Alligator mississippiensis: one gene and its partner. The protein of the gene in region 2 interacts with the protein of the main gene of each other region in a biochemical or structural test. Links are inferred from orthologs where the notes say so. Each region holds a gene or a part of one and is shown on either strand. Other genes may lie near its edges.

What was found.
Region 1: of the proteins of MALT1 (region 2) and RELB, one has a biochemical effect on the other in vitro, tested with the Homo sapiens proteins (2 studies listed by BioGRID). The link is inferred for Alligator mississippiensis from reciprocal best matches to the Homo sapiens genes MALT1 and RELB.

The regions. Positions count from the first base shown.
Region 1 is NC_081838.1:224,703-236,910, reverse strand, and holds the start of RELB (transcription factor RelB), read right to left. Parts: upstream 5,659-12,208; 5' UTR 5,585-5,658; coding exon 5,530-5,584; intron 5,451-5,529; coding exon 5,397-5,450; intron 5,031-5,396; coding exon 5,022-5,030; intron 3,985-5,021; coding exon 3,482-3,984; intron 3,074-3,481; coding exon 2,916-3,073; intron 2,087-2,915; coding exon 1,995-2,086; intron 1,498-1,994; coding exon 1,366-1,497; intron 1,043-1,365; coding exon 938-1,042; intron 562-937; coding exon 346-561; intron 169-345; coding exon 100-168; intron 1-99. Other genes in the region: putative lipid scramblase CLPTM1, read left to right, coding at 10,784-11,029, 11,118-11,206.
Region 2 is NC_081826.1:282,800,612-282,812,871, forward strand, and holds the start of MALT1 (mucosa-associated lymphoid tissue lymphoma translocation protein 1), read right to left. Parts: upstream 4,770-12,260; 5' UTR 4,740-4,769; coding exon 4,579-4,739; intron 2,617-4,578; coding exon 2,450-2,616; intron 1-2,449. UniProt on the Homo sapiens protein: Protease that enhances BCL10-induced activation: acts via formation of CBM complexes that channel adaptive and innate immune signaling downstream of CARD domain-containing proteins (CARD9, CARD11 and CARD14) to activate NF-kappa-B and MAP kinase p38 pathways which stimulate expression of genes encoding pro-inflammatory cytokines and chemokines.

The DNA of each region.
Region 1 (12,208 bases), on a different chromosome or scaffold from region 2:
CGATGCCTCCGCAGGGAGGGGAAAGCTGAGGGGACCCTGCTGGGTGCAGGGGAGGGTCCCAGCCTCCACCAGGCAGCCCAGAGCCCCCGTGGCACCCACCGGATCCAGACAGCTCCTCCAGCACGTCAGGCATCCCCCGCTTCCGCTTCACATTCACCCCGTAGGCATCTGCAGAGAAGACGGAGCCGAGCAGGGTGTCAGCCAGACCCAGCCTGTCCCCTGCCCGAGTGCAGGAGGCTGCTACCCGCAGGGACTGCATGCTAGCACCCTTGCACGGGGGCTCTGTGCCCCTCTCCCACTCTCAGGGGGCCGTGACTGGGGTGCCGATCCCAGGGCGGGGGTTACCGTGGTCCTTGGGCAGGTAGGTGAAGGGGAAGGGCTCGCTGCAGACACTGTCAGTCAGGCGTTGCAGGAACACGGCCACCTCCACAGGCTCAGGGATGTCCAGGTGCTGGTATGGGGGTGTCTTGAAGACGATGGCGACCTGGCGGTGCACGTCGGCCTGCGAGAAGTCGGCCTTGGCCTCCCAGGTATCCTTCCGGAAGATGACAGCGATGTCCTCTGCAGGGGGTGTGGGGTGAGGGGGCAACAGGGCCAGGCTGGGCAGGGGCACATGGACCTCTGCACCCCTCCCAGCAGATGGGGCTGGCCCGGCCCCCCCAGGAACGGGTCCAGGCCTGGGCACCAGATGCAGGCAGCTCGGACACCTCCCGTCTCTTCCCTGCGCCCAGCTGTAGCTGGGGCTTTGCAGTCCCCAAGTCCCTCACAGGCAGCTGGGGGACCCCCTTTCACCCCCCACACCCCACCACCCTCCTGACCCCAGCTCCAGGCCCCCTCGACGGGCTCCCACCCCTCCTCTGAGCTGCAGCTGGAGCTGTCCCCTCCGCCAGGACCCCCCACCCAGGGCAGCGAGGCTGAGCTGTAGTCCCCCACTTGCCTTTCTGGACCTTATCGCAGAGCAGGTACATCTCCTCCCCACCCGCGCAGGGCCCGCACTCCTTGTTCATGCGGCAGATGCGCAGCTCCGACGTGTTGGTGGACTCTGTGTGCACCAACACAGGCTCAAGCAGAGGCAGCGGTATGGCATGGGAGCCTAGCCTGAGGGAGCAGCCCCAGCCGCACCAGGACAGGCCTGTCCAAAACCCGTGGCGAACCACGATCCCCCAGGTTGTGCTCCAGTGCATGGGAGCATCTGTCTGCCATGAGCAGTATGGGGGCCAGGACACACAGGAAAGCAGCTGCCAGCCAGGCGAGCAGATACTGCCTGCGCGTGGGACCCACACAAGAAGCCGAGGTACCAGGCAGGCCACGGCCACAGCCCCTAGCCTGCCCAGCCACCCTCCAGCCCCCACCCTGGCCACTTACTCTTGTCAAAGATGGGCTCGGAGAGCACGGGGCTGAAGTGCCGTGTCTGCCCGCTGGCGTCGCGATAGGAAGCCTGGAAGCAGATCCGCACCACGTTCATGTCCACCTCCTGGTGATTCTTCAGGGAGCCAGCTGTGGGGGGAGACGCAGCGAGTGGGGCTGCTGAGTGAGTGCCCCCACCCCCAGCTGCAGCACAGGGTCTCCCCCCACCCTGGATGGCCCCAACGTGACCGTCCCTGCCCCCTTTCCAGTGGGAGGGGAGGCCGTGGGTCCCTCTGGAGCCTGGGGACCTCCTCCCCGCAAAGGAAAAAGCAATTCCGGACCAGGAGAGTGAGACTGTCCAGCCCCATGGTCCCAATCCAGACAGCTGCAAGCCCTGAGCTACGACTCGACTGTGCCACCCACCCGCTCCACATCCTGCCTCCAGAACCAGGTGCGCAACACCCCCTGCAAACCCGGGGTGGGGCCAGGCCAGCAGAGGAGCTCTGGGATGCAGGGCACAGGGTCAGAGGGGCCTGGGGGTGTCCCCATGGGACCTTGGTGGGCTCCCAGATCCCCTCGGAGCTCCTGGGCTGGGCTGGGTTGCAGGCAGCGGGTGTGCCCCCCCCCCCCCCCCCCGGGTCACCCACCTTTGAAGGGGTCGATGCCCAGCTGTAGCTTCTTCTCGATGGCTCCCTCGATCTCCTTCTTCTTCACACACTGGATGCCGAGATTGCTGAAGCTGCCAGGGCCAAGAGGGCATGGGCTGGAGGCTGGCCAAGCTCCGTTGTGCTCATGAGCTGCCCTCCTTCCCTGCCCTCAGCCACGGAGGGGGCACCACTGCATGGGGTGCTGCCATGTAGCACCCAGGGGCCATGCCAGCCCCAGCCCTGGCCCCACTGGTCCAGCCACTACTGAGCATGGTTCCCCCTGGGGCTCCTCCTCCGATCCCTCTGCCTCCTTCAGAGCTCTCCCAGGCCCAGAGAGAGACACGGGGATGCCCAGTCCCCACCTTCTGCCTGGCCCCAGCTCCACAGGGCCCCTTCACCTTCCCCACATGGCAGCCAGCTGAGAGGCCAGGTGGGAGGAGCTCTGAGGGGATCTGGGAGCCCACCAAGGCCTCACGGGGACACCCCCAGGCCCCTCCGACCCTGTACCCATGCCTCTGCCCTGCCTGGACAGGCCTCCACCTCCGCATGGGGCCCCCTGGCTTGGTGTGTGCCCCTAGGCTGCAACCTAGGAGGGGCTGCTCTGGTCCCAGGGCCAGGACCCCGAACCACCTGGCTCTCCCACCCCAACCCCTGGCAGCAGCTCCTGGGAGGTGCTTGGTCCCCAGCCAGCGGGACGGAGCCCGGGGCACCGCAGCTCCGGCTCCTCCAGCAGACAGGGGCTGGGGTGCCAGGGGCTCCGTTCTAGCCCAAGGGCAGGGAACAGCGAGGAAGAAGCCACAGCACTGGGAAATCGCTGTCAGGCCACGACTGTCCAAGGGCCCCAGATACCGAGCCTAGGCCACCCCCGGGACGGGGCCATGTGGAGGAGTCTCCCAACCCCCAGGGCTGCGCGGCTGGTACCTGTGCTTGGGGTTGGTCTGGGGCTTGAGGGTGACCTCGCAGAGCCCATTGCTGCAGTCCTTGCCCACAAGGCCGTGGGGGTGGATACGGAACGGCCAGTCCTTCCACACCAGGCAGGCCGTCACCTTCACCTCTGGGATCTTCTGGCAGTTCAGCAACTGGGGAGACGCCAGAGGCTCATTGCAGGGGGATGGGGTGGGGGAGGCTGATACAGGGATAACAGGGAGAGAAACCAGGCCCCCACCCTGGACAGGGGGCTCCCAGCCCCTCTCCCAGGGCAGGTTGGGTCCCCTGCGGCCAGGCCAGGCCAAACAGCTCAGCCCTGTTCCAGCGGGAAGTCCAGTTCTCATTGTACGAGAAAGTGGAGCACAGGGTCCAGAGGTGCCCCCACACTTGCCCCTGGCTGGGGGAGATGTGATGGTGCCTGGGTCCAGGGTCCTACCCCATCGTGGGGGTGGGAGGGGAGGAGGGGTAACCCAGCCAGGCCTGCCTGGCTGTCCAGCAGGAGCTATTGGGGGCAGGGGGTGAGCACAGGGCCCCTGCCCAGTGCCCTGCCCCCTCCTCACCTCGATGGCTGGCAGGGTCTTGCTGGCCTCAGTGCTACTCTCGCCCAGGATGCTGCCAGCTGACCGGCCCTCACACTCATAGCGGAAGCGCATGCCCCGCTGCTTCGGCTGCTCTGTGATCACCAGCTTGGGCGGCTCCAGCATGTCCTCCAGCTGCTCCTTGGCCGTGGGCATGGACCAGTGGTGCTGGGCGGGCGCGGCGGTGGACGGGAGCGGCGTCCCCCGTGGCACCAGCCTCGGCGACAGCGTCAGGTTGCCCAGGCTCTGGGTGAGCTGGGGGCCCCGGGAGACAGGTGGCAGCAGGGGGGAGTCTCCAAAGGGCCCCAGAGTCCCTGGCAGCGAGCCGGACCCCAGAGGCTGTGAGTGGCGCAGCGATCTCGTGGGCACCATGGGGCTCGAGCCCCGGGGCACCAACTTGGCCGGGCCCTTGGGCATAGGCCTGGGCAGGAAGGACGGGGCATCCGGCTGGAATCCATCCTCCTTCATCAGCTCCTCAATGATCTCTGTGGTGGGGGGGGCACCATCAGGGCACAGCTGCAGAGACTTGCCCGGGGGCAGCGGGAGCAGCCAGGGGTTGGCACGAGTCACAGGCAGCATTGGGATGTGGTGGCAGGAGCCCTCTGCCAGCCACAGCCATGCACAGGGCTGCCCACCCTGGCCTCTGAGCCCTGCCCTGCACACACTGCCACAATGCCCGCCTTCCTCCCGGCACGTGCCTGCTGCCAGGTAACAGATGTGGGCAAAGCCGCTGGCCTGAGCTCCAGCACCACCCAGCCCCTGCAGCAGGGGAGCTGATCCAGGGACTCAATCTCAGGGAGGGAGGGAGGGGGGCATCTTCCAGCCTGGCTGCTGCAGCATGGGCATGCCCAGGGCACTGCTAGAAGTAGTCCCGGGCCCCACCCAACACCTCCCAGCAGGACACTCCTCCCCTAGTGTAGATGAAGCCCTGCGACAGCAGTCAGTAACTGCGCGCCAGGGTCGCTGGCCTGAACTGCAGGCAAGGGCATACCCAGCCCAGGGGAGCCAGGCTGAGTCGGCCAAGGCTTCTGCTGCCAGGTGGATGTGGAAGGAGAAGGGGCAGGGGCTGGGCACAGCCTCGCTTCCCCGAGCGCCCAGCAAAGGGCGCTGCCAGCACCTGCGGCAGCCAGCGAGTGGCCTTTGCTCCGTGTCTGCCTAGGGTAGGGCTCCTCTGCCCCAGCCCAGCTCCTGCATCATGGCACCAAGAGGACAGGCCCGAAGGCAGAGGTGGAGCCGCATCGGGGGAATCACTCCTGCCCAGACCCCAGGGCTCCGCGGGGGCCGGCAAGCTTCTCCCGTCTCCATGGCCTTGCAGCAGCTGGCAGCACCTACGGGTCCCCTGGCCTGGGCTCTGGGCAGGGGGGCGCAGGGGCTGGAAGCTGCCCCGACCCCACAGACTGCACCGCCGTCCCCTGTCACCGTCACGCCAGCCAGCGGGTCCCGCAGGCTGCGACCGCCCTGGCAAGCCCCAGGGCTGCACGTACCTGCTCCTGCCGCACCCCCACGCCCAGAGGTCACTCACCTAAATCCTCTGCAGAAGAGAAAGGAGAGGCTGGCTCTAGTTTGGCGCAGGCGGCTGCTCTCCCTCCCCCTGCCCAGGAGCCCAGCCACCCGCCAGGACCCAGGGCTGGCAGGAGCCCCCGGGCACCAAGCCCAGCGCCCGGCGCTGCCCCTGCTCTGGGAGAGCTCCTGGGGACGGGGGCTGAGGCTGTCGTGGGGCAGCGCAGGAAGCCCCCAGGATCCCTCTGCTGCGGGGGCCAGGGGGCATGCAGAGGGCCCGAGATGCCCGCGGCCCCGGAGCAAAAGCTCCTCCGCCCCGGGAGCTGCCTGCCTCAGTCCCCCCTGCTGTGAAACGGGGCCGCGCGGCGCGGCGCGAAGCGGAGCCCCCGGCCCTCACCGTCCGCGTGCGACGCCTGCGCCATGGCCGGGCCGCGGTCCGGGGCGGCGGCTCCTGCGGAGACACGAGGCCCGTTACCCCGCGCCTGCCCGGGGCGGCCCCGCGCCCGCCGCCCAGCGGCCCCGCGCCTCACCTGGCGGCAGAGGCCCCCGCTCCCGCCGCTGCTGCCGCCCCCGGGGCTGCCGCATCGCCTCCCGAGCCGCGCCGCGCCGCGCCGTGCCGCGCCGAGCCGGGCCGGGCCGCGCCGGGCCGCGCCGGGGGCAGCGCGGAGGCGGCGGCGCTGGAAATCCCCGGCTCCGCCGCCGCTGCCATTGGCTGCGCCCCGCGCTGAGCTCATCGCCCGGCGGGGAAAGCCCCGCGCCCGGGGGGCCGCCGCAGCCTCGCGCCCCCGCGCCAGGGGAACCGGAGCCCGATGCACGGCCGCCGGGGCCGGGGGCTCCGGGCCGGAGCTCCTGAACGCCGGGGAGCGGGGCAGCTGTGCCCTGGCCCTGGGCAGGGCATGGGGCAGCCGAGCCCGGACACGGACACGGGCACGGGGCACACACAGGCTGTGCCCTGGGCTGAGCGGTGGGCCCTTGCGAGCACGGCAGGACGGAGCCCAGTGCAGGCGGCGTCTCCCCAGGGCCGTGTCAGCAGGGCTGGGAACGCCTGGCCGCCCCGCAGTCCCTGGGGCAGCAGACACCAGACGTAGCCAGCTGGGGGTCAGGGCAGCCTCGTGCCCACCGCAGCCGCAGCCCATGATACCTGTCCAGGGAGCCGCGGCAGGCCGTTCTTGCCTTGAGCTGGCACAGCAGAGAGCAGCAGAGCTCCTGGCTCCGGTGCTGGGATCCAAGTGCCCTGACTGCCCTGGGGGGCAAAGCCATGCTCAACACCCGAGCTCAGCGCTCACCGAGGCTCTGGGCTCTCAGTTCCCCTGTGCCTTGGGAAGAGGTGAGAGCAGCACAGGACTAGAAGGCACAGCTGGTTCCTCAGCCCCCGGTGAAGCCAGAAGGGCCTGGGAATGAGGGTGGGTGGGCGGACGGGGCATGGGGGAAGGGTGCCACGAGGCAGTGCCCCAGCCTGAGTCAGCACGTGGAGTCCGGGGGACCTGGAAACACTGACTGGTAACCAGCCAAGGAGCCCCAGCCTCCACTTTCCCTGGCGTGGGAGGGGCACACACAGGTTCTGCAGCGGAGAGCACATGCCGCTCTGATCTCCCGGGAGGCTCGGAGGTGCTCTGAGAAGCATGGCCTGCCTCCTTCCCACCCCCAACCCACTCTCCCCACCCAGCCCATGGAGGGGGGACCAGCTTCCAGACTGGCTCACCAGGCACAGGTGACCAGAAAATCAACTCCCAATGAGGAAGCTGGATCTGACACCCCCTTGGTTGCAACCACACTGCAGAACCTTGCACCAGGCGCCTGCATCAGAGACCTTGTGTAATGTGTGTGTCGGGGGGGGGAGGGGGGGGCAAATGAATCCAGTTCTTAATCTAATCCAAGTGCCAATTCAGTTCTGCGTCTCAGTAACTGTCTGCAAAGATCCATGGGCCACCCACTGACAACCTCCCCCAGACCCATAGACCTGGGAGTCTAGATGTTCCCCGTATCCAGGTGGCCAAGCTACAGACAAGTCCTGAGCCAGGAGGCCTGGGGATCGGATGCCCCCAGTCATACTTGATCATAGCAGAAGGCCGAGAACCACTAAATCAAATGACCTCAGAGACCAGCCTCCCTGTCCCATCTGGCAGCACCATCGTGCTGGGCTCCCAGAGCACGTACGTGGCACAGAGTGGCGCTTTCCCCAGTCACTTCCTTGGGCAGAGGGGGCTGCATCTGAGCTGCCTCTGGACTAAGTGAGCCCAGCCTGCCTCCACTGATGCAAGGCCGGGGAGGGCTGTAGCTGCAGGTAGCTCAGAGGCATTTCTCCTCTGGCAGAGCTGAGGGAATCAACTGACTTCATGGCCCATTATACTCTCCTAATAGCTCTTCATTCCACAGGTGTGAACCACTCTCTCCCTGTGAACAGTCCTGAGGTTTCACTATTCAAACTCTCCTTCCTTCTGCAGCACTGATGCCTGTTAGCCATTCCTGGAACTTCTCTCCCATTTTGCAGCCCTGTAGGCTGTTTTTAGTTCAAGCTGAAAATTTTAACTCAGAGGTAGTGCGATTGACTTGTCTAGAAATGACTGACACAGTGAAGTACTGGAGACGATGTTAAGATGCTCAGGGATACTACATGTTGTTTTACAAATCTGGGTAAGAAATGCATATTTAACTATAAAAGCTACAAGACTAATGACCAGGGATCCTGGTTTTCACTGATTTAAAAAAAATCCCCCATTTTCGGTTAAAAAACCAACCCCCAAATCAACATTTTTTCCATGATTTAAATGAAACACCACTAATATATAGCTACCTATATATTAGTGGTGTTTCATTTAAATCATGGAAAAATGACATTTGTTTTTGCTTTAATCTTAAACAGAATAACACAGTGCTAGGTCCCTGGCATCTTCATAGATTCATAGATGTTAGGGTCGGAAGGGACCTCAATAGATCATCAAGTCCGACCCCCTGCATAAGCAGGAAAGAGTGCTGGGTCTAGATGACCCCAGCTAGATACTCATCTAACCTCCTCTTGAAGACCCCCAGGGTAGGGGAGAGCACCACCTCCCTTGGGAGCCTGTTCCAGACCTTGGCCACTCGAACTGTGAAGAAGTTCTTCCTAATGTCCAATCTAAATCTGCTGTCTGCTAGCTTGTGGCCATTATTTCTTGTAACCCCCAGGGGCGCCTTGGTGAATAAAACCTCACCAATTCCCTTCTGTGCCCCCATGATGAACTTATAGGCAGCCACAAGGTCGCCTCTCACCCTTCTCTTGCGGAGGCTGAAAAGGTCCAGTTTCTCTAGTCTCTCCTCGTAGGGCTTGGTCTGCAGGCCCTTAACCATACGAGTGGCCCTTCTCTGGACCCTCTCCAGGTTATCCGCATCCTTCTTGAAGTGTGGTGCCCAGAACTGCACGCAGTACTCCAACTGCGGTCTGACCAGCGCCCGATAGAGGGGAAGTATCACCTCCTTGGACCTATTCGTCATGCATCTGCTGATGCACGATAAAGTGCCATTGGCTTTTCTGATGGCTTCGTCACACTGCTGGCTCATGTTCATCTTGGAGTCCACCAGGACTCCAAGATCCCTCTCCACCTCTGTGCCACCCAGCAGGTCATTCCCTAGGCTGTAGGTGTGCTGGACATTTTTCCTCCCTAGGTGCAGCACTTTGCATTTCTCCTTGTTGAACTGCATCCTGTTGTTTTCTGCCCACTTGTCCAGCCTATCCAGGTCTGCCTGCAGCTGTTCCCTGCCCTCCGGCGTGTCCACTTCTCCCCATAGCTTTGTGTCGTCTGCAAACTTGGACAGAGTACATTTGACTCCCTCGTCCAAGTCGCTGATGAAGACATTAAAGAGTATCGGTCCAAGGACCGAGCCCTGCGGGACCCCACTGCCCACACCCTTCCAGGTCGAGACCGACCCATCTACCACGACTCTCTGGGTGCAACCCTCTAGCCAATTCGCCACCCACCGGACCGTGCAGTCATCCACGTCACAGCCTCTTAACTTGTTCACCAGTATGGGGTGGGATACCGTATCGAAGGCCTTCCTGAAGTCTAAGTATACAACATCCACCCCTCCTCCTGTGTCCAGGCGTTTCGTAACCTGGTCATAGAAAGAGACTAGGTTGGTCAGGCACGATCTGCCCGCCACAAACCCGTGCTGGTTTCCCCTCAGCATAATCTGCCCTGCCGGGCTCTCACAAATGTGAGCCTTGATAATTTTTTCAAAGACTTTGCCTAGGATGGAGGTGAGACTGACCGGCCTATAGTTGCCCGGGTCCTCCTTCCTCCCCTTCTTGAAAATGGGGACCACGTTAGCCCTTTTCCAGTCCTCCGGGACTTGGCCCGTGCGCCATGAGCGTTCGAATATTCCCGCCAGTGGCTCTGCAGTGATGTCGGCCAGTGCCTTCAGCACCCTCGGATGGAGCCCATCTGGGCCTGCCGACTTAAAGGCATCCAGTTCTTCCAAGTGACTCTGCACCATCTCAGGGTCTACGCATGGCAGTCTGGCGCCTTGCTGCTGCCTCTCTGCAACCCCAGTGAGAGACTTGTCGTGCCCCTCGCTTAGGGACACTGAGGCAAAGACCTCGTTGAGGAGTTCAGCCTTGTCCCCCCTGTCTGTCACCAATTGCTTCTGCCCATTTAGCAGCAGTCCTATTCCTCCCTGGGCCTTCCTTTTACTCCCTATGTATCTAAAAAACAATTTCTTGTTGTCCTTTACTTGGGTTGCCATCCTCAGCTCCATGGTAGCCTTGGCCCGCCTAACTGCCTCCCTACAAGTGCGAGCAGAGGAGGTATATTCATCTTAGTTAAGCCTCTAGTTTTTCTTTAACTAGACACAAACGTGCGTCACACCCCACTGTTCAAAATCCTGCATCCACCCACACTGTGCACCAAAAAGCGACGTGGCTCTTCTATGATGGCACCTGGCTTGGCAGGACGGGGAGCCGTGCGCGAGAAGGCCCTGTCTGACTTGCTAGCCTGGCTGCAGAGCCTCGCAAGGCAGAGCGGTTTTCAGGAACATCTAAATGGCTGCACTAAGAAAAACTGGCCTTTGAGCCACGAGCAAGCCTCGTCCTTAACCGCGACGCTGCCCATCTTCCGCTGTGCTCGCAGCCCAGGCTGCGTGGGCTTCGTGCAGAACACGTGACACCAAAAATCTGGGTATTTCTGTAAATGTTGGCACTGAGCTCACTCTCCCTTTGTCCGCAGACCCTGGCACTAGTTTGAGCTGGCCTCAGCCTCCCCAGGTGTCACGGCCACCTCTCCCACCCCTGGCACTGGTGTCAGGGCAACACCCCCATCAAATGGGGCCAAGCTTTGGCTCTGGGAGTTGCGACACCCGACTCAAATGAGCTCCTGCTGCCAGGGCCGGGATCTCCCTCGGTTTGCCCAGCCAGAGCAGGGCTGCCTGTGGCCTCTCCCGCCTCCGGCAACGCGGGGTGCAGGGAAGCAGAGGAGACCGGGGCTCGTGGGGCAGCGTGAAGACGAGGGGGAGGGGGAGGTTGGTTACACCAGAGGCTGCGACACCCGGCGTGGGAACGGCCGCACTCGAGGGGCTCCGCGTCCGGAGCAGCCCGGGCTGAGGCAGGACTGGCCCCGTGCGAGCCAGCCTGGACACCCTCGGCCTGTGAGCGAAACGACCAGGCCTGCCCTGTCCTGCCCGGGACAGAGGCTACAGCCTCCCTGTGCTGGCGCTCGCAGAGGCTGGCAGTGGAGGCTCCGGATGCCCCGGGAGAGCCCGGCCCCTGACCCCAGCTCTAGGCCGCGCTGGGTCTGACACAAGCCCAGGACAGGGATGACGTCACGTGCCAGCCCCCGGGCGTCGCAGGGGATCCTCCCACGTGGCGCCTGCTGCAGCCTTGCAGGCCCCGCCCCTACGCCCCGCGGCCGGAAATGGCGTCCCTTGCCCCGGAAGCGGCGCGTCGCGCGGGCGGGGCATGGCGGGGGCAGTTCTCGCGAGAGCGGCTCGGGGCCTGGGCGCAGCAAGATGGCGGCGCCGGAGACGGAGGGGGCGGTGGGTCCCGTGCCCGGCCCGGAACAGGTAGCGCCCCCCCCCTCCTTTCCCCTCTCCTTCCCTCGGCCCGGCCCGGCCCGGCCCGGCCCCCGGATTACAGCGCGTCTCCCCGCAGGTGACGAGTAACGGGACGGCCCCGCCGCCGCAGCAGCCGCCGCCTGCGGCGCCCAACGCCTGGCAGGTCATCAAGGGCGTGCTCTTCCGGTGAGACTCGGCCCCGCGCCCCGTGCCCCCGGCCCATCCAGTGCTCGGCGCTCGGCTCCCTACCCTGTGCCCCCGGCCCCTCCCCCGCTCGGCGCTCGGCTCCCTGCCCTGTGCCCCCCCGGGCCCCGCTCGGCGCTCGGCCCCCCTTTTTGTGCTGCCCTTCCCCGTTCACCGCTCGGCGCTGCGCCCCGGCCCATCGACTGCTCCCCAGCCCCTCGTGCCTCCTCGCGCGCGGACCGGCGGGCGGGCGGCCCCTCTTCCACCTGGATCCCCGGTGCCCTCGGGACCTCGTCTGGCCAGAGCCGCAGGCGCGTCCCTGGCACGGTTTGCGGTGGTGCCGGCCCCTGCCCCTGCCCCTGCTGTGAGCGGGGGAGGCCCTGGGGGGCGCGGGGCTGCAGCCCCTGCACTGCCGCCCATCACCTGTCTGCGTGCACTTGCCCTGCCCGTGGCCCTCGCAAGCCACAGCACCTCTGGCTCGGCCTGCTCCTGGCCCAGCCACCATCTGCCTGCCCGGGAGGGAGGCTGTGGCCGCAAGGACCCTGGGGGCCGCGGGGCCGTTTCCTGTCCTCGCCGGGCAGCACCCGCTGGCTCCTTGGGCACTGTCCAGCGTGTCCGTGCTCGGTGCGCTCGTTACCAACCTCCCCTCCCATCTCTGTGTTGTATCGTATTTGTCCCCAGCCTTCGCTGGTGGGCCTTTAGTTCCCCCTGCCCTTATTAAAGGGACCTGTAGCCCTGTCTGGGCATTGGCTCATGGTCAGGAATGGCGTAATCTGCTGCTCTGCCATCTGTCCCATGCTCCTCAGTGCTCTGCTCTTTGCCGTCTGCTCCCTGCCACACTTGCTGCTTTGCTGTCTACTTCCCACCCCATCTCCCACTGTGCTGCCTGCCCCCTGTCTGCTGCATCTCCCCACACGGAGGCTGCCTGGGCTCCGTGGCACTGGCGCTGTAGGTTTGCACCCCTGTAACGCAAGGAAAGTCAGCAATTGGTTTCTGCAGTGTTTG
Region 2 (12,260 bases):
AAGATGAATTTAAAAGAGGAAATGGTGGCAAAGCTTTATAAATGGTAACACTGAGAATTTGCCATGCATCACAACAATAGAGGTGCCAGAGTCCATTTAATTTAATTTAATGAGGATTAAACTCCATCATGTGTACAAGTGCCCCAGTAGATCAACAGGCAGCCTAAACTGCTGTGATGGGTAGAGGGTTCTTGCTAGATTACAAAATGATGAAATGCTAGATGGTGCTAATAGCAGCCATCAGAGGAATTGCAGAACCCAAAACAATCACAGACCTCAGTGAAACCAAGGATGGTACAACAGCTCTTTTTCATTTTCAAGACAGAAGGAACAGTCAAGTCCCTTTACATGGTAAAGCCAGCTGTGCTCAAAGCAGCAGCCTCTCAGCTGCCACCAGCAAACAACCAGTGTGCCACTAGGTCAGAAAAACCACCAGGATCACAAAGATTCTTCACAAACACTGAATTCAGTTTCACGTGTGCAATGACGACTCCCTCAAACTGTCCTCAGCTTAACCCAGGGGTTGGAAGCCTATGGCCCATGGGATCCAGTTAACAGAGCCATTTGATCCCTGGACATAAGGGCTTCGGCAGCAGTTGTTCTCCACTTGTTGCCACTGGGAAAAGCATCAGCAGCCTCTTCTGGTCCAAACTGTGTCAAAATCAATCCAGCACACAGCCTTAAAAGGTTGCTGACTGCTGGCGTAGCCTGTCTCACTGCTGATTTAAATGCATAACTGAGCGAATAACTGGTAAAAGCTAGGGCAGGGCAGGGCAGGGCTGCACCTTAGAGGAAACGGACAATTCCTAGCATCTCAAGGTAGCTGTTCCCTAGGAAAACTCATGCCTCTCAGAACCAGTTAGTCCCAGGTGCCACCCTGCCCAATTTCAGACTAACATGACTGATCACATGACTAATCAACTGCCTATTTTTAGTCACTTATTTGAAAACACCACTGGCCATCTACATGCAACTTAGGGTAACTGCAGATTTCACCTGAACCCAGACACCTCACTTAGCTAAGCAGGGCATGAGCATCTACACTGCTAAGGTATTCCCACGTCATATCCACTTAGGCATGTTCACACTGGTACTGCTCTAACATGGGGTAGACACTAAGATTGCTTTGTTCTTAGCATTGCACCAAGTTGTGCTGCTCTACTAACTGTTTCACAGCAAATTTTTGGCCAACTTTTCTGCTTTTCCAGGGGTCTACGTGAAAAGACCCTCAGCCTAAAAAACTCAGTTAACAAAAGTAATTCTGCCTCTGCATGCTTCTCATGTTTTTCAACAGTTACTGTTCCAGCTGTTGCCAAAGCATGGATACAGCACAGAATCACGACCTGTTCCAGCCATCTACATTAAAGCAACATCCATTTCTGCAACTGAAAGCAGGTAGAAGGCATGAAACATTTTAGTAGTACCTTCTCACCCTGAGAAGGCAAAGGTATGATTCAATGAGAAGGTCATGCCAGCAGCATAGACAGAAAACTAGATTAAATACCACTTAGTAAGTGGTAAGTGACTGAGCACAGGCAGATGAAACATTTAAAGCAGTGTAATCAGTGTTACACAAGTGTGAAAAAAACAACAATAGACAGCTGACAAGCTCCTAAAACAGAAGAGCCATCCAACCCAGTGAGCATTTACCTAGGAATCAATGTAAATACCACCACCTTAGGTTTCATCTACCCAAGCGCATCACAGGATAGCCATCTGACACAAGCCAGCAGGCCAGGGCTTGCTCCCCCATACAGTGCCAAGGCACAGCTACAGCCACCTACTCTGTAAACTATTCCAAAACAGCTGCTCCCCTGGCCATTCCCAGTTCCAGTGTAACTTATGATCAGCATTCAGAATTAATGAAATTACATTAGGGTATATATTCTTTTCTGAGTCCTTGATTTTACAGTACTCAAAAAAGGAAGTCTGGGTTCAAAACTCATATACACCCCAGCAAAAACAACGTGCATGGGGGCAGGACGTTACAACCCAGGTTGGATCTCCTTCATATAACACAAGAAGAAACCAACTTCCCAAAGCTGTGTGTGGCTCTAACTGCAGTAGTAAAAGCCAACTTTTAAGATAAATAAGTAAGCAAACTGACTATCTCTGCTCTCAAAGCACGTGCGTGCACGTGCACACACACACACACTTCACAACAGATTTTTTCCAACCCTGTTTTGCTTCCTCTGTTCCAAGCAAGTTAATCACTCTGGATCTTCTATTTAAAAAATAACTTCAAAAGACACTTAATGAATGAAACACACTGATTATGGAAGCTGATTTGATTTCCAAATCAGAAATGTTTGTAGTGTTTAACTAGAAACTCATCTGTAGTTGTTACAACGTTTAACTAGAAATTCTTCTACTCCCCACAAGGAACACACACACATCTCAAGATGATTTCCAGCAAAGGCAAGTGATGAATTGAAAAACCAGAACTGACCTGGGGGATTAAGGCACTGGAGAGCTTCTGTGTGTTCCAGGGCCTGCAAGAATTCCACCAACTCCAGCACAGTGCAGCCCCTTTCACCCATTAGTCTCAGAAGACTCCAGCTCGGGCTTCCTTCTGGCTCCAGGACTTTGAGAGAGCATTGTTCCAAATCCAGAGAACTGCAAGCATGAAAAAGAAACCAATTACGTAAAGGGTCTTCTCAATGTACATTTCTAATCCTCTTTAAGAAGTGAATTATAACCCATTGGGAAATCATTTACGTCTTCTGGAAGCATGCTGAGCAGGGGTGTTAAATTCATCTGGGCCCCAGGGCTCCTTTCAAGGTGAATCATAGAAAAGTAAGGCTGGAAGGGACCTCCAGATGTCATCTAGTTCATACTCTGCTTGAAGCAAGATCATTCCCATCCAAGCCATTTTATACAATTCATTCTCTAGCCCATGAGCAAAACTACAGTCAGCCCTGGCCCAACTATGAGACATAACACCCTAACCTACCCACAGGTAAAGCAGGAAGACCATGGACTCATCTCTAGTGACTGGACGAGCAATAGAGGCATTGTGCAAGCAAGACTGTCAATTCAGGAAGGTACGGGGATTAATTTAGCTGTCACTCACTCCACCACGACTGACAGGAGTCCCCAACAAACCTCTATACCCTGGAATTCAGCAGTGGGCCCCATGCCCCTGAATTCCCAGGAGCCCTACAGGCCGGATGATATGGCTCTGCAGACCAGATCCAGCCCACCAGCCATATCTCTAATGCCCCCGATTTATCCCAATCCCAATCGGATTTCAAAGCAGTTGTAATCTGTGTATAAATCACATACTGTGGCTTAAATGAAACCACTTGAAGTAGAAGGTGGAAACTAAATGAACCAGTTAACAAAGCACAAGGGATCTGTGTATCTTAAAATTCTAACCAAATACATCAGGTAGGCTCCTAAACATGTAGGCAGGACTTCAGTTTTTCGGATGAGAATTTAAAAAGTGATCACAGACTACCTTTCCATTTACGGCACACCTACTTCAGAAACAAGTAAAGAATGAGTCACCCACTCAGGATTTCACCTATGGTTCCAGGAAGACTTTGCATTTCTGTGCTGATGGTAAGATCTTTAAGATGTTCAATAGCTTAAGAGTAAATTCAGTCAATGTTTGCCACTTGCCAATATGCAACTCCGTCCTACTGTAAATCTGTAAAGCCGGATGTAAAGAGACTCATACATTTAACCTTTGTTTTTAGGCCCACAGAGCTCTTTCTAATCAGAGACAGGACTGTAACAACAATTTTCAAAACACAAAGAACTAGAGGAGGAACATATTGATGGAAAGATTATATCGAGTCACATGTCACCACAAGAAAGTTTCACTGAAAGTTCTTCTACCCAAGTACAATTCATTTCCATTTTTGTGCATTAACAGATAAGGCGCTTCCTTCAGTACAACCACACTACTGTGGCTGGAGACTCGAGAACAGTAATTATAGCTCAAAGCTGTGGCTCTTTAACATATGTGCACATGCTTCAAAGGAGACATGTTCACTTTACTTTGTGCTGACCCTGGAGTGGGATGGTGAAACTCATTGAAGCCTCCACTGCCACCAGGACTCCTGTTTTGGAGGGCACCACCAGGCAAGCAAGATATAAAGAAACTAGCTGGAGGAGAGTAACAAGAAGTACACAGCGTGATCCATGGGGGGAGGCTGCAGGAACTGGGGTTGGGGAGTCTAGAAAAGGGCAGATGTGGGAGGGACAACAACCATCCCCCCATGACTGGAGTGTGAGGAGCAGGGACAACCTTCCCCCCACGCCCCCCTGAGTCCCCTTTCGGGGGAAGATAACAATGATCCAAGAGGTAAAAGACCAGCTGCTCTCCACGCCCGCTACCAGGAAGGAGGGGAAGAAACTGAATCGGCAGCAAGGGGGAGTTAGGTCAGACGTTAGGAAAACAACCTGTAAGGAGGCAGCCCTGGAAAGGGACCACCGCCGGACCTCAGCCCCTGGAGGGTTTCAGAGCGCAAGCCAGACAACCCTCCCTGGGGGCCGGAAGCGCCTGGGGCTCGCTGGCCCACCAGAAATGAGGACGAGGCGAGGTGGCCCCTCGCTCCGCCCGCGCCTCACCTGAGCCGGACCCTGCCGTGGGTCCCCGCCCGCTGCGCCAGGTCCCTCCAGCCCTTGCCCGGCGCGGCGCGGTCCAGCAGGGCGCTGAGCCGCCGCAGCAGCGGCTCCCCGAGGCGGCCGAGGGGCAGGGACCCCGCCGCGGCGCCCGGCAGCAGCGACATCGCAGCGCACCCGGCCGGAGCCCTGGGACTCCTGTGACGTCACAAGCGAGGGGCGGGGCCCGAACCCGGAAGGAACGTGGGGGGATTGCCCGAGGAGGCCCCCACGTGTGCCCGCCCCGCCCCAGCCCCGCCCCTCGTCGCCTAGCGCGCTGAGACCCGAGCAGGGGACGCCTGCGGGGCCTGGAGATCCTGTCAAGGGTGCTCAGCCTGTTGGCAAGGGGAGCCGGGCAGATCTGATTCACAAGAGAAAGCCAGAGAGATTTCAGTGCCAAAAACATTCTGCTTTTTCTAAGTGCTTTGCAATAGAATGGCACAAGTACAGCGGTTCCCCATCTGCGGTATTATATTATAACATATAATTATATTAACAGCTTTATTATAATTACTTCATACGACAAACATTTGCTGGTGGTACTTCAGATTGAACTGAAAAAATTGCTGGTGGTACTTTGTATCCTTTTAAATGGGTGGTGAGTTTGGGAACCGCTGCTCTGTTACTTTTCTGTAGTGGAAGAAGAACCAGCATCTTCTGAGGGCTGTCTCCAACCTAGCCTTGAAGGTTGACAGCCACTGGCCCAGGTATTTAGGGGAGGAAGAGCTGTAAAACTCCAGCCATGCTCCAGAGCTGTAAAACTCTCCTAGGTTACCAGCAAGGAGCAGCACCGACATGGAGATGAAGCATACAGACAGGCACAGAGGCAAGGATTTTTGTGGGTGATACGTTTTACTGGACTAACTGCATGGTTGGGAGAGACAAGCTTTCAAATGCAGGAGACCTGAAGAAGAATGCACTGCATTCAAAAAGAAATGCGAAACTCTAGAACTGCAGCTTCCCTCCAAGACTACGGCAGACATGCAAATGTATTTGAAAGGTTTTTGCTGTTAGGCATATCAGAATTTTAATCTGTCGAGGAACTGTTAATAATCTAATAAAATAAAAGAAATTGATAAGACTCACAGGGTTTGTGGCATCCCCACAGTAAAACAGAAAGGGAGTTTAGAAGCATATATGGAAGTGAAAAAACAACAGCCACTCTTGCTTTGCATAGGCCTGGAGCAAATAATAGCATTTCTTGTGCATTTTGTGACGATAGAAATATCTAAAATGTGGGACAAGCATTTGGCCTGCAAAAAAGAAAGGAAAGGCAGAGTCATCTCGGGGACATAAACCAGGGAAAATTAACTTTATGGTTTAGAGCTGTGGTTCTCAACCTTTCTTGTATCGAGACCCATTTGTAAATATTGATGGCCAGTCCCAACTCAGTAAATAGTTTAAGTAGAAAACAACTGCCTGGCCCTGCCAGTGTCCATCACCCCCCCACTGCCCCAGCCCTGCTGGTGCCCCTCACTCCTGACCCACTGCTCCCAGGCTCCAGTTCCCCAGTGTGTGGGGGAGGGGGGGCAGGGGGGGCACATTTCTCCTCAGATTTGTGCACCCACGGCAGGCATGGGGCTACAGCCTGGCCAGACTGGCATTGGCAGGAGCTGCCCTGGTGGGACTCTATGTGGGAAAACAGAGTGGGATGGTGAAACTCACTGAAGCCTCCACTGCCACCGGGACTCCTGAACCAGTCATGGCACAAGCAATGCAAGGAGTAATGGATGGGACGGACACACACCTCACCTCCTCCCACCACCACCCACTCTCAGGCCGGGCCTCTACTCTACCCAGCTGCCAGGCCCTGACCACCGCTCCTGCAGCTTCCCTCAGGCCACCCATGCTGTCCACCACCCCACTTCCCCTCCGGGGTAGAGCCACAGTGGCAGTGGCCAGGCCATGACAGCAAGATAGAGCCAGGATCTGGCGCCCGAGCGGCTGGCAGTGAGAGGAGGTGAGGGCAGTGCAGCCCCCAAGTCTGTTAGTCCTTATGCTGCTGGCAGCATGGCTGGTATGGGGGGCCCAGCAGTGGTGGCAGCAATAACAAGTCTCACTACCCCACTCTGCTTCACCACTCTGGGTCCTGTCCACTGGGCCACAGAGGTGGCTCTCCTTGTGCCAGTCCAGCAAGTCTGCAGCCCCATGCCTGTTGTGGGTGTACAAATCCGGGGCAGGGGGGAGAGCATGTGCCCACCCATGCCTCTCTTATGTGTCACCTCTGCTCCCCCTGTCTCCCCGATGTGCCGTCTATGTCCCGTCCCCTGCCCTCTGCCCCATAGACTGACCTGTGGGAAGCTACGGGAGCTGCTCTCCACACTGCCTGGCTCCCATGTGCATGCCTGTGCACACATACGCACATAATGCCCCTGTCTGATCACCCTCCTTTCACTCCCCCCAGCCCAAAGCAGTCCCTTGCAGGCTGGAACTCTGCCAGCCTGCATGGGGAAACCCATGGTTTCCCATGTTTTTCTCCTTTAAAGGAGAATCCATTTTTAAAGTTTGTCTGTGACCCTTTCATATATTGCAATCCACTTTTATGTCGCGACCCACAGGTTGAGAAACTCTGGTTTAGACCACTATTAAGCATTTATACCTCTGGCCCCTACTGTTAGGAGAAATGACAACCTTTCTTCTCTATCCTGTGAGTGACTCGGTCAGTGGGGCATGAATCTACAACACTAATTGTAATCTCAAGCTACTCTTCAACGGCTTTGAGAGGCTTTGCCTGTGAATCCCATTAGAAGGTGATATTTTTGTGCCCGGTTATGTCTGAGTGACCTCTCTTCCTTTCCTCTTCAGTTGTTCCCTGAAGAATTGTGTTTGCTAGGACTGCTATTCTGGTCGTGTGGCCAGAGCAGTCCTGTCTTCCTACTGTTGCAACTAGGAGCTCAAATAATTCAATTATTGAATTGCTGCTTCTCTAATAGAGTTCTTAGTCCATAGATATGCTATATGGTATCTACAGAACTCTTTGGAGACAACAGAATTCAAAACCTTGAATTCATTATCCTGTTGCTGCTGTAAGAATCCACGTTTTCAATCCTTTTGAGAACTCAGTCATTTTAAGAAGTTCTGTCTAGATGCATTTCATATGTTTTTGTCTCTCAAGCTTTCTTTCAGTTTTGTTAGTGCTACAGTCATAACAGCAATTCCGCTTTCCATTTTCTATCTTTTGTTATAGAAGTTCTGATGTACTTGAATACATCCACTGGTTTGATTTTCTTACCTTTGGAGTAAATTTCTGATTGAATATAGAATTTCCCACAAACATTAAGAAGCTTGCATCTGTGCTAACTTTCATGCAGGATTATCTAGGCTTCCTGTTGGCTTTACTAGTTGTAGTTCTGTTCTTATCAAATCAACATCATTTGCAAAATTGAAGTTACACATCTTCTTCCTACTGTTAGCTGTCCCTTTCAAATTCTTTGATGACTTCTGACACAATACATTCTGGGCAGAGTTGAACAAACATAGCAATAAGCAAAATCCCTGTCTGATTCCAACTGTTGCATGGAACCAGTCACTTGGTGTGCTAATCTGCAATGACTGCATTGTTGCAGTGGGCTGTCACTATTCGTTTGCTGATGTTTTGCTTCTTACCCATAATACCCCTTGCTATGGATGGACTCCATACTTCTTGGAGTCTATGGTGTTCTACGTATGTTTCACTCTGTGCTCTTAAGGAGAAGATATTTCCTGTTGTTCAGCTCTGAAACATGCTTATTGTTCTCCAGGTAAGATTTCTACTTGAAACCTAGCTTGTTTAGAAGGATGCATGGTAATACTTGGCATCTACGTTTGTAGTGTATTTTTTCACATTTGAAGGTTCCCTGGGGAACATGGAATGATTTCCATAGGTGGCCCACTGGTCACCTCTCTGACTGCCTGATCATGCTGCATATATTGTAACAATTTTACAAAATTGTAAAAATTTGTAACAATTTTACAACAATGGCATCTCTCCCCTTTTTTTGCATTTCAGCAGATATAGTGTCTATTCATCCTGACTTACCATTTTAAGATTTCAAACTTCTTTGGCTTTTCTGAATATGGACAAATCCTCTTCTCTGTGTTATTCACTTGCTAGACTGTTGCAGATGTTAGGAACAATATGTAGACTGTGTCTGTATAGGTCCTCACTGTGCTCCTGCCATCTGTCTGCAACTACTTTCGCCTCTGTCTGAAGATGCCTATTTTTGTCTTTAGTCACAGATGCTTTTTCCTGTTTCATAGTCTATTCGTTTATTATACCATGTACCCTGTTAATGTTGTTTTTCAATCAGTTGTATTCAGTGTTTTGACTCCATCTGTTTATTCGGTTTTCCTTTACTCTGCAAAATTTTTGTATGATATTGCTAGTCAGGCTCTAATTCTCTGCTTCCTTTCTTCAACAGTAGCATTTAGGTTTTAGTTCCCTTCTCTAATCTCATAGATCTAGAGGATACCCCATGGCTGCCTTGTCTTCTCTGGTCTTCCTAGAACTTGCACAATTTGGTTTAGATATTACCTGAAGCCAGCTGTTGTTTCCTTGAAATCTTCCACCATCGAGACAGGCAACTCTTATCTTAATTTGTCTAGAAACTCGGCTCAGGTCAGACCAGGGACAGGCAGTTATTTTGGGCAGAGGGCCACTTACTGAGTTTTGGCAAGCCATCGAGGGCCACATGACAGGCAGCCAGGGGCAGATAAATATTTATTTTCTGAAATTTTTAGGGGCCCTGTGGGCCAGAGAGGACCACCTGGTGGATCACATCTGGCCCACGGGCTGCATCTTGCCCACCCCTGGGTCAGACTGTCCTGTAGCTTGCCCAGATCATGCTTTTAACCTGGGATTTCTTGCTGGGGTTTCCTCTTGAGTTTGATCATTATTGGCAATATGAGAAGATCATGATCACTCATGTCAGCTCCTGTGAAAATGTGCACCTTATGTGTTTTGATACTGGACTGAAAGCACTTCAGTGTTGGAGTAGAGTCCATTTAGTTACTGTATTCTCTCCTGGGGGGTAATCACATTGTTTTGGATTGTATATTGTTGGGACCCAGGGCAGCCGGCCAGCAGCTTTCCCTGACTCCCACCCGAGCAGATAAGGGTTCGGGGCCTTAGAAGGCCGTTAGGCGGGTACTTGTGATGCGTGGAGTGGAATTAATTAGGCAGACGCTTATCGGTTGCAAAGCAAGATTGTTTACTTACGTCAAGGTGATGTAAGACGGAGGTTAGAGATACTTAGTTAGTTACAGCTTAGAGATCGTTGTTTAGTTATTCTGCAGATATATATATACGGGCCGGCGGTCGGCTTATTGGGCATGCGGGGCAAGGGTATGCCAGGGAGGTCGCGGCGGGAAGACGCTGACAACTGATCAAATTGTCAGATTTACTCCAAGGTGTGGGCAGAGTTGTTTTCGACTTTGCGAAAAATGTAAGCGGGTTTTGTTTGTATGATAGCCAATTGTTTTTCGCCACGTCATAAATCTAATTAGAATCGCCAATTATCTAGCGGTCTTTGCTAGGGTGTTATTTTCACAGGGTTACTCCTTGTTTTCTTTGACCAATTATAATGATTTATATAAAGCAAAGAAGGCAAAAGTTTTTCTCTCTGTTAGTGGCGCAGCAATAAATTTCTTTTTGACATGCGCAGAAAAAAGCGGTTACTATCATTATTGTTAACCCTTAGTTAACCTAGTGCAGAAAAAACTTTTTTAAATGGTTATTACTTGTTTGTGACATGGGCACTACTTAATTTGGTTGAGACATGCCCTCTTGCCCATGGCACAGCAAGTAACATCATGTTTATGTACAGACCATTTTGTTTATCATTGTTAGTATTTGGCAAGCGGGTGTATACAAAAGCAAAAAGCATGGTTAACTTTGTTTTGAGATATTGTAAATTTCAACAGCTAAAACACACAAATATAGCAATTGATAACAAAAGCATAATGAAGGGTATTAACAAGTTGAGGAACCATGATCACGTGTTACACCCAAACCAACGGAAGAGGTTTGATAGCCAACTTTGGCCTATACCCGAGAGTTGGTTTGGCGTTTTTTGCAATTTTTTTTATTTTTTTGTTTAAGACTGTTGAAACGCATTAACCTTGTTATACATTACTACTTGCTTTTTTTTTAACGATTTGACACTTCCTGTCCTTCATCCACCTACGACATATAATAAGCCTTTACATTTGTTTTTTGTGCTCTCTCGTGTTTTAGTTAAGAAACCAAACTAAAAAGGCAAATTTTTTTTTCTCTTTCATTTAATGCTTTTGTTTACACTCGACCTTTTTGCGACATCCCCCAAACCTTCAGATTATTAATGCTGGGTTTTTTTAATAATTCAGAGCTTTCCACTCAAAACATTATGACTTGGCTTCACTGCATAAAGTTTTGAACAGGCTTTAAAACAAAACAAATATGTACAAGATTATTAACAGGAAAAGAAAAACCATAAAATGAATCGTTACTTGTGTTTTTGGCCTACAATGACAAAAGGTTTAGGACCGAGTTGGAGGTTTTGAAGTTAGCTTTGTTCGCCGAGAAATTTGTTGGTAACTGCAGGAATAGAGCGACGACCCTGCTTTGTGACATATGAGCAGGCAGCCATTGTGGCGTTGACCCGGGTGTGTTGCAGGTTGGTGGTTGGTGATTTTTGCGATTAGGCAGTTACAGATTGCTTTTTCATTTTTGCTGGGCCTGTAAGGGGACAAAACAGACGAACAGACAAACAAACGAAGAAAAGGGTGGCCATACTCGGTGAACAGCATGGCGGCGAGTTAGCCAGTTGTGATGAGCTATGATGAGCGACCAAGTTTGATCGCCTTTTAGGAGCACAGAGTAGGAGCCAGGATACTGCTTGGGTTTGCAGATGACTTTTTTGTGCACTCGCGGATGTGGTTGACGATGGTGTGGTGTTTACGGGTGAGCTTTGGCTTTTATGGTTGGGGCTTTTGAAGCGCTAGTTCATAGATGCCCCCTTCAAGTAGTTTTTTGTTAGGGCAGGCTGCGGTGTTATCCGGAGTGTGCTGTTAGGCGTGGGTGCCTCCGGGGCCTGGACCAGTTGGCAGGATCGGTTGAGATTGGTAGCCTAGTATATGTGCCAGTTGTTGTTATTTCGCATTTTTTAGGACGTGTAGCCGTTGTTTGGTAAGCGTGAAGTGGTTTAGGAGGAACCCAAACATGGCTTTTTTCTGTGGTGTCCTCTGGGGTGGCAGTTTTGATTCCTTTCGTAAGTTGAATTGGGAATGTTTTGGCTTTTGATGTTTGACTGGATATGCAGTAAGATAGCTTAGGGCAATGGCTGAGTTTGCGGTTGCTGACTTTATAAGGGCTTGCAGTTGTGAAAGTTGACTTAAAAGATTTTTTGCTGGCTGAGTAACGAGCAGGTTGAGGAGAAGGCGAAGGTTGATGGTATCCTCTTTTTCATAAATTTTTATGCATGCTTTGATGACGTTAAGGGTGGTGGTGGTGGTTGCACCCTTTGGGTTGGTTACTTGCTTGGTTATTGTTACAGGATGAGCGGCAGCTGTAGTTGTTACTGTGTTTGATGGGAGGATCGGATTTTTGCTCGTTGCCCCCTCCCTGTGGGACGGAGGTGGGGCCGTTGGGAGCGAATTTATCTCCTGGGGCAGGGTAGCAGGGTGGAGTTTTG